Linked DNA regions of Coturnix japonica. The protein of the gene in region 1 binds, or shares a complex with, the protein of each later gene. Links are inferred from orthologs where the notes say so. Each region holds a gene or a part of one and is shown on either strand. Other genes may lie near its edges. The genes, in order: PIGF, PIGG and PIGO.

What was found.
Region 2: PIGF (region 1) and PIGG share a complex: the UniProt entries of both Homo sapiens proteins name them as parts of the ethanolamine phosphate transferase 2 complex. The link is inferred for Coturnix japonica from reciprocal best matches to the Homo sapiens genes PIGF and PIGG.
Region 3: PIGF (region 1) and PIGO share a complex: the UniProt entries of both Homo sapiens proteins name them as parts of the ethanolamine phosphate transferase 3 complex. The link is inferred for Coturnix japonica from reciprocal best matches to the Homo sapiens genes PIGF and PIGO.

What each region holds. Positions count from the first base shown.
Region 1 is NC_029518.1:23,881,319-23,884,977, reverse strand, and holds part of PIGF (phosphatidylinositol-glycan biosynthesis class F protein), read left to right. Parts: intron 1-991; coding exon 992-1,100; intron 1,101-1,474; exon of another isoform or gene 1,475-3,659.
Region 2 is NC_029547.1:47,222,428-47,226,086, forward strand, and holds part of PIGG (GPI ethanolamine phosphate transferase 2), read right to left. Parts: intron 3,328-3,659; coding exon 3,136-3,327; intron 1-3,135.
Region 3 is NC_029547.1:7,848,188-7,850,552, reverse strand, and holds part of PIGO (GPI ethanolamine phosphate transferase 3), read left to right. Parts: intron 1-186; coding exon 187-257; intron 258-820; coding exon 821-941; 3' UTR 942-2,365.

The DNA.
Region 1 (3,659 bases):
GCAGGGGGGTTGGAACTACATGATCCTTGAGGTCCCTTCCAACCCGGGTCATTCTGTAATTCTGGAAATAATTTACAATTTTTGGTGTGTAGACTAGCTTAGTGTTTGCTTGTTTTTTCCAAGTTACAAGAAGATATAATTGTGTGCTCAAATCTAGTGTTCTAAGTTACAGCAATGGGATTAGCGTAGAATAAATAGTGTTGTTTCTGCCCCAAATGTCAGCATTGCATTATAAATATTATAAGCAGCATGAGTTTTATATTATGCAGCAAGCAGTAGAATTTGTTTGTCCTATGCTTATAAATGGTTCTATCAATATTGAGTGCAGCAGTGAATTACATGCTTTAGACTTCTGAGTACTTTAGACTCTTCAAAATAAGGGTTAAAGGTTTAAAGCTTTCATGTCACACAGACTAAATGTCACTTGTAAAGTTTGGGGTTTGCAGTTCATCTAGACTTTTAGCTGTAAAATGCCCATCTTCTTTCCTTCATTGGCTAAAGCTAGATTTGTGTTTATAACCCGAGATGGAGCAAATTTAAGATCCTGATCTTGTACCTTACTGATTTGGAGTAGGGCTTTGAATTCAGTTCAACTCAGTACTATGCCCTGCAGTGTTATGAAATGCACAAAGAACTCAGAAGTCCATGGCTTGAGGGAAGCAAAAATATTCACTCAGTAAACAGATGATGGACAATAAGCATTTACCTAATAAACAGAAACCCAAATTGTCCAAAACTTTTGAAGCCACTGCTGGTGGGAGGCTATAAACTGAGAACCAAAGTCACTAACATCTGTTATCATACACTACATGTTTTGATCGGCTGTGCAAGAAATTCACCAGCATGCAAAAAATTCTTCCTGCCTCCTGTGCAGTTGAACATGAATGCAGTGTGGCTTAAGAGGTGGAACATGCAGTCTGTACTTACTTTGCAGTGTTTATTTTCATGTCATTTGCTGCTGTTGAAATCCTGTAACACGTTGTTTTTACAGAGCTATGTCCATCTGGGAGAACAGCCTACAGATTACTACAATGTGCAGTATACTAGGAGGTTGGTTTGGAGCATTTCCTATTCCTCTTGATTGGGATCGGCCCTGGCAGGTTAGTATCTGCGTCTTTATTGTTAATTAAAAAACACCTGTTTTCCAGATATACAAGCTACTCAAAATGGCTCTGAAACTGAACAGATGTTACTTGGATTTACTTGTAAGTTGTTTCTGCAGGGTAGTGCCAGACATTTAAAAGGTCATTGGAAGCATCTTTTCTTACAGCATAAGGATGGAAAATGCATATTTTTTTTTACATATTAAGATTCTTTCTTGTAGTTCTATGAGTGTGTCTGCTGCATGCAAATTTTAATCACAAAATAGAGTTGTAAGGATAAGCTAGACAAGGGGAAGGAGAAATGTGAAATGATAAAGATTGCTCTGGGTTTGTCTACTTTCAGTCTGGTATTTTTTCTTCCTTATGGGCAGGGAAGAAATGATGCTCTCCCAGTGTTTCAGATCCATACAAACACTTAAGAGAATACATTTGAAATAGATTTGGATTGATTTGTGGAGATGGTGTGGCCAAAGAACTGTACTACAGTCTTAACTTCTGATTTCAGAGGAAGGCAAGGATTAGCTTTGTAACTGCACAATAAAAAATGCTTGCACTGCAGATTCCGTCTTAATATATTCTAATTGTCTGTGTTATTTTCTTCATATTTTTTTGTCATGGAGAAATGATTATATAAAACAGTGAAAATCTGCATTTGCCCTAAAATGATGATGTCGGTACCAATTTGCACTGAAGATCCTCAGTGGGTATTTTCATTACCTCCAGTTACCAACCTCTAAAACTCTCTGCTACACAATATCTTTGAGGCCTGTTTGTAAGCAGATGGTTTCAAAGGTGTATTTCAGAAATCAGTATAACAGCCAACATGCTTTTTCTTTCTGATACTGTGGAGACTTAGAGCTGCCATAGAAATGTGTCGTCCTGAAATAGCTAGCAGCCTTATGCCATCATAAGTAGAGGAGTAGGGTAGTACCTTACATATAAAATGAAGTTTTCCTCTCTAAAACGGCTTGGAATTATTTTTTTGCAAGGTACCTACATGAGACTGATGGTAAAGTATGTGTTGGCAACCAGTTAATTGTTGGCTGACCTTCCCTGATACTGCCTAAAAGACAAGGGGTTCATTGAAACGCAGTGTTATGTCCTTCTGCATTGAGAGACAAGCAGTTCTCTTCTTGCTCAGCTATGTTTTTAAATGCTGTGTCACATCTGGCAGTTTTTATTTAACTCTTTTGCTTACACCCAAGATTTGTCACAGTATCTTCACTCATTGGCATTTGTGTATTGAATCATTCTATGTAAGTGTTGATAAAAACTTGGATTTATATGAGCATATAATGGCATGTTGTCCATTTCCCTACTCCATTGACATTTGTCAGAAAGAAGTACTGAATGCTCTGTCTCTTCTTTCTTTGGTGTCATTCACAAAAGAAAATCTAAGAGTTGCATTTCCTAGTATGGGACTTGGTCTTGGGTGAAAATTGTGTGTATGAGTGTAGCACAGTTGGACAGGTCAATGTGATGGTACTATTGGCACGATAGAAGGGTGCTATAAGGGAAGAAGATTGCTCACTTGTGTCAGGTTTGCAGGGAGAAACTCCACCAGGGAGGGATCTCCAGAAAGACCCTTCCCCAATGGCAGTCAGCCCTTAAATGGGGTCTAGGAGAGGTACAGCCAGGCTCCACCCCTTCCAGTCACACAGCTGAATTGCCTTCACCTGTTCACCCAGGGCTTTTTCTGCTTGAAAAGTCTTCAAAGTCATACAAGCTGAACATAACAGACTTACTGAAGTTGAGATCTGGAATCTGTAAATCTAAAAACTCATTATCTGACTCCTCCGGACAACAAAGAATTGGCAGAATCCTCAAATATTGTAACTTGTCACTAGTTGTTTCTGCAGGCATGAGTGCTCCCCACTCCATGTTTTACCTTGTGGAATTTAAAATAATGGGGTGGGAGAAGAAATCTTAATTTCCATTTTGAGTCTGAAGTGCTGGATCATTAGTTGAATCATCGTCTGAGTAATCCAAGAGGTCAGATGAATGGAGAAGTTTGCTTATCGGATCTGCAAGCTGCCATTTCAGCAGTCAGAAAATTTCATATTTAGGTGCTTTTTAAAAATTATTTTTTTTTTTTTTAAGGATCTGCTTTATAGGGAAAAATGAAAGAAGCTCTTTGTAAAAGCCTTTATATTTTATAGCTGTATTGCAGCGAAGCACAAAAATGGTAGCCAGTGTTGAAAGCAGGAGTGGAACTCCTTTAAGGAGGCTTCTTAGAGATCCTGTTCAAGACTCTCAGAGGTTTGCAGTTATTGATCTATTTACTTATTTATTTTAATGGTTTTGGCTTTAGTGTTTGGTTCTTTTTAAATTTGTTTTTCCTGAACATGAAGTCTTAAGTGTTGATAAATAAAGGGACAAATGTAGTTGTAAATTCACTTGCTTTAGGAAGAAAATATTTAGTGCAGGTTGACTTCCTGATCATAAAATTATCTGTACGTAACACAGTTATGGAAGAAGGTTCACTGAAGGAAAAAAAAAGACATGAGCTGGAAGTGTTCTGTGTAGATCTTAATCCAACTGGCATGCTTACAGGAA
Region 2 (3,659 bases), on another chromosome or scaffold:
AAGGCCATATTGTTTCTTTGCATTTATTTTTTTTTTTAAAGTTAGAGGTTATAGCTCAAGCCATAGAGGAAGGGACATTCTTCAGTTGTCTAACCCATCTTCCAGCAATTGTCATGTTCAGATAAAATACTTCATTTCAGCAAAGGGAAGAAAAATGGGGTATCAAAGCACTGATTCAGTCTTGTAAGTAAACATGAATTAAACATGCAGTGGCTACATACAGATGAAAAAGTATCTCATACAAACCATCTCGATCTGTCTCCACTTCATGTCACACATATGATAAAAATACCTCCAGACAAATTTGAAGGACAGTCCTGGTCATTTATCACATCAGCCATCTAATCAAAGTGAGCTTGAATTACGCTACTGACATATCAGCTAACATCTGAAATGTGCTAATATGTCTACCATCTTATTTGGCATGCTGTTCCAAGAGTTTTCAGAAGACATTGTGTTTAAAGAGTCAGCAAATGTAAACAAGCGATGCTTCCTCTGTTAGGCCCTGCATTATAGGTTTAAGAAGCTCATATCTTAGCATAACCAGCTCACTTACAGGTGAAAAGTTCTGCTTCTTTCAGTAGGAATGGTTTGGGGGATATTTTATAATTGAATTGACCATTCAAATCAGAGGGACAACTATTTCATTAAATGTATACGGTAAAAGAATATATAAGGACTGTCAAGTTCCACCCTGAAAGTATCTTGTTTAAAGAAGAATCATAGAAAATAAAGACTACAGCATATACCTGTCCTGAGATGTATAAAATGAGCATCTGAAGTCTTGTAGGGTATTTGTGCTCACAGAAGCACAAAGATATTTTAGTAAAAATAATAATAATAAAAAAGCTACTTGTTAATTGCTCCCAGATAAACTGCCACTTCATTTCAAGCTGTGCTTTAAGTACAAGACCACTATATCTGCCAATAAAGCTTTATTTTCTAGAGCTTTGTTTCATTAATTTTGAGAGCACCTTTTAAATCACTATATAATTAGAGATTTATAAACATCTGACATGATTTAAGCACATTATCATATTCACTATTTATTTAAGGTGAAAGAATATAAAAGCCCTTTATCTTCCTTCTTGTAATTAAAATCACTATGATGAGTGCAGAATGAGTAAGTTCTCAGAAAAGGCTTTTGTCTTAAGTACTCCACTTATTTCTCTAATTGCATTCCATTTGTATCTCAATTCCTGTATTTAATGTTTTGTCCCACGCTGCAGTTTGTTGGGTTTTTTTTTCCATTACAACTCCAAGGACCTTACTAAAACACAAAAATGAGGTTAAACCCAGAAATGGATTTGAAGCACACATGCTTTCAAAATACACCTTCAATCACAGAGCAAAATTCTGTAGACTAAGTTTACCATTGCACCCATGAGTGCTGAAGGACCTGGCAGAACTGACTGCCAAACTACTCTCTGTCATCTGGGAAAGCTCACAGAGAGCGGGAGACATGCCAGTAGATGGGAAGAAATATCACCCCACTCTTCAAAAAGGGCAAGGACTCCAGAAAGTACAGTCCAGTCAGCCTCAGCTCAGTTGACCATCCCCTGGGAAGGGCATAGAATGATTTATGATGGATGTCATCTCTGAGCAAGTGGAGAAGAAGGTTGTCAACTACTGCTGACAAGGGGAAATTACTGACCAACCTGGTAGACTTCTATGAACATCTGTGTAGGTGAAGGGAGAGCAGGGAATGTCATATTCTTTGATTTCAACAAGGCTTATGACACTGTCTCCCATAACATCCCCATAAGTAAGGTCAGCAAGCGTGGTCAGAAAGGAGTGGACAGTGAGTTGGTCAAGAGAACCGACCGGTAGAGCTCAGAGGGCTGTGCTCAGTGGTGCAGAGTCTAGCTGGAGGCCTGTAACTAGCGGTCTGTAACTAGCTGTGTTCCCCCTGGCTACAGATCACAGAGCACTGGAACAAACTGCCCAGAGGCAGGCTGTGGAGTTTCCTTCTCTGGAGATGTTCAAAACCCACCTGGACACTTTCCTGTATAGCCTGCTGTAGGGAACCTGTTTTAGCAAGGTGATACTCAGAGGTCCTTACAACCACTACAATTCTGTGATTCTGACATTACTCTCACACTCAGCAGAAAGAACGTACAATGTTAACACTGGTCCACAATTAGAACTATCTTCAATATTTGGAAAGACAGAATGTATGTAAATACATCTCCATATATATGTATATAAACACAAAGATAGTTTTTAAAGATGCCTTATTAGCAAATCTGATCTATATGTCATAAGATCTTTTCCTGCAGGACTTTTTCCATATGTGTATCTTGTGAATTTCCATTCTCTAATTAAACAAACAAACAAACCACTTGTGTCTATATCAAATAAAAAATGAATGTGAAAGAAAGTTTATTTCATTTGTAAGACAACAGTTAAACTTGTCTTCCACAATCCGCTCCTCTTTGAATGTTCTTACTAACTCTGGAAGTTTTCCACAGCACTGGTATTTACAAGCCAGGTACAATCCAATGATAAAAAGCTCCACAAGAAAACTAAAGTGACTTAGCCACGTTCTAGAAGTAGTCCCTGGTAAAAATGCTAACAAATTCCTTACAGTTGCAACGACCAGCTCGTTAAGAAATTTACCATCCACATAAAAGTCCTCAGTATGCACTATACAGCACAGCCTAGTTATCAAGAACTTTGTTACAGTCATACATTACAAAAATACTCAGCTGAGAAAGGAAAATATGGAAAAGCAACACTGAATTACTGTATGATCATCCTTCAAAACTAGCAAATAGTTAAATGAATTTGACATGTTCTCTGCTAAATGTGGCAAATCCATCTAAAACATGAGGAGATGATGTATTTGGGGCTTCTTTCTAGCAAAAATACAGGAAATGACTACTGGATTTTCTTTCCTCTGATTAGTTCCTATCTAACTTCTATTCTGACAGAGTTGCAGGACACTTCACAAGGCTTAAAATTAAACATCACAAGAACCTGCACGTCAGTCACCTACAAAATATTTTTATTTAGTTTTACTCATAAGAGTTTTATTACAGTCAAAACATAACAGCCCTCTCCACCCTATCCCCCGATAACGAAAGCGTTAACACCTTTATAGAAACAGATTTACATATCTGTTGATTAACTTACTTTGAAATATCTTTGCTGTCACGTTGCCATGGAAATACGACATTTCCAATGGCTGCCCGGTAACTGTAGACTCCCAGAAGCCCAAGTGCCATAGCAATTTTTGAAACCAGGGAGCATCTTCTTTGAACCAGAACAAAGATCATAACGAGGGAAACTGCAGCCAAGACGGAGAGTTCAGACTTATGCTCAGAACTGCAGAAAAAGAAACACACAAACAACAAGAAAAAACTTCAAACCACTGTAATTACTGTGAAGCACATTTGACAGAGCCTCAGCTACAGCACTCTATTGCCAAATTAATTATTGCACTGAGATATGCTATAAATTTTCCAAGAGGTATGGTAAAATACTTTAGTAGTTTCAAAAAATTGATTTTATTAATGAGGCTTCCCATTCAAGAATGCATGCTTAAAGTGGAATTATTGTGTTCCACTATGTGCTAGCTATTCTCTTAATTATATAAAAACTGAGCTGCTTATTGCATAATGGAAAAGAGCAGAAGCTTTTAAGCTTGAATTTTCCTA
Region 3 (2,365 bases), on another chromosome or scaffold:
TGCAGCACAGGTTGTTTTTCTTTCCTGATGCGATGATGAGAGAGAATCCTCTTTGGGATGCTTATTTCTAATGTACTGGCCTCTCAGGTCTGCACAATTTAGTATCGCTTTCAGGTATGGACCTGTTGCCCAGAAGGACTCTGCAGTGTGTCACTTGTAACTTTATTTTCCTGGTCTCACCAACAGCTTCTGGCCTGTGTGTGTGCAGCTGTGATCCTCAGGAGGCACCTCATGGTCTGGAAGGTCTTTGCCCCAAAGTAAGTTGCAGGAGTTAGTTTGATGCTGGGTGTTGGCTCATGCTGCTGAAGTCTTGGCTATAGTTCTTAGCTAGTAATATTGGAAGTGACCATGTGATTGATCTTCGATAACTTTTCACTAGTAGAGGCTGTAGAATTGGCCTTGACTAATTCCTGCTTCAGGTTCAGAAGCTGGACTCAGACTGGAGCAGAGTCCTTTCTCCTTGATTTTCAAGGATGCCCAGAGCCCACCTGTAAGTTAAAGAATATTCAGGGCAGAGAGGCAAAGGTAGTGTTATCAGCCTACAAATGAGATGCAAACCTTTGGGGTAGTAGGCATGTGGGATGTCCTTGACCTCTGGGAGTTCCCAAATCCCACTTTAATGTCTTCCTGAATGGCCTTGAAACCAGCAAGGAACTAAAGGCATGGTTGGCTTCTGGATCGCAAGCAGCATCCACTTCTAAGGAATAAATGCAATCCACGTTTTATGACTGGTGGTACTACCAGTCCCTCACTGTCAGGGAAAATTATCTGCTGGGGTTGTGGGTAGCATGATACCTTATTGCATCTGTTGTGCCTCCAGGTTCCTCTTTGAGTCTCTGGGCTTCATGGTGAGCAGCATCTGCCTCCTGCTGGGGATCTCCCTGGTGATGCGTGTGGACTGTGCCGTTAGCACCTGGTTCAGCCAGCTCCAGCTCAGGTAGCACCGAAGATGTGGGGAACCTGACTTGCTCGTCGGCCAAGGCTGTGGTCATCTCCCTGATTCCTTAGTGCCAGGAGGGGTTCAACAGCCACCAGCAACGAGTGCCTGCCGACAGCAGTTTGGGATTATCCCTCGCTCCCTGCCTCAATGTTGTGCAAAAGAACCAGTGCCGGCTGTTCCCTGTTCATTGTGATGCTCTGCAGGGAGCATGCTTCTCAGTGGTTGAGGTTGGAACTCTTGTGCATTTGTTAGCAGCAGGAGGAAGCCAAGAAGCAAGAAGAGTCCTGAGGTGCTTCTCCGCAGAACCAACAGCAGGATGTCTTGCTAGTGCATTCCCAAAAACTGCCCCAACTGTGCTGCTAGTAGGCTGCAGTGGTCTGCAATGTGCCTGGAGAGCATCATCTTGCCTGTGCAGAGACATTGACTTACTTGAAGGGGCCTGCTAAGGAGGGACAGAGAGAAAAGGCTACTATAACTCTGCCCTCTTGCTGGGTCCTACAGCCACCACTTCTCTCTGCATGCTCCGTTTTCATGCTGGAATCAGAGTGCACACAGCTATGCTGGCAGATGGTTTCTGGGGTCTTGGTTGCACCTGCCTTCCTGTCAGCCTAGTTCATTGCTCTTAATGAGGCCTCTCCTGCCCTATACTCACTCCTGTTTTTCTGATGTTCCTAAACAGTACTAGGGGCTGAGTAGAGCTGACTGGGCTGTCTTGGACAGCCTGAAGCAGGCATAGTTTTTTGGGAAGATTTATAGCAGGGTAAATGGTGTCCATGACTGGAAAACTTCACTCATGACCTTGGCCTGCACTGTCCATATAGTCAGGGCTGTAGCAGCTGGGGCTCTTGGTCTCCTCCTGAGCATATGCTGCAGGATGGTTGGTAGTTGATTAGGAACAGTTATTTGCTAGCAGGATGTAGTGACAGACCATTTGACTCACCCCTGTATTGGATCTTGTTAGGAAGAAAGGAGGGTCTTGTGAGGCTGACTGCAGGACTGATCTTGGTGAGAGCTGAGAACAGCTGCTGGAGATTTGTGAGCAGGTGACAACTCCTGCATGGTGGCCTAATGCACTGGAATCCATGTATGTGCTGGGGAAGTTTCTGTCACCTTGATGGCATCCTAGGCATTGTGGAGGATGGCATCTGTGATCCAGTACTGGGTGCTTATCACCCAGTGATCTTGCTTTTGTGCATGAGGCTTTGTGCTTCAAGTGAGCTATCTCGAATCTGCTTTTGACTGTGTGCTGTCAGATGTATATCTGTATGGGCAGAAGTGGAAGATGGTGACCATGGTGCCTGGCTGCATTCCAGCTGAACTCCCCCTGCACTGTTGATGGGAGCTGGGATTCCTTACTGCCCTGAACCACTGTGTGGCATTATTTGGTGCTATGAAACTTTTCATCTCTTTCCCCTCTGGAAAGAG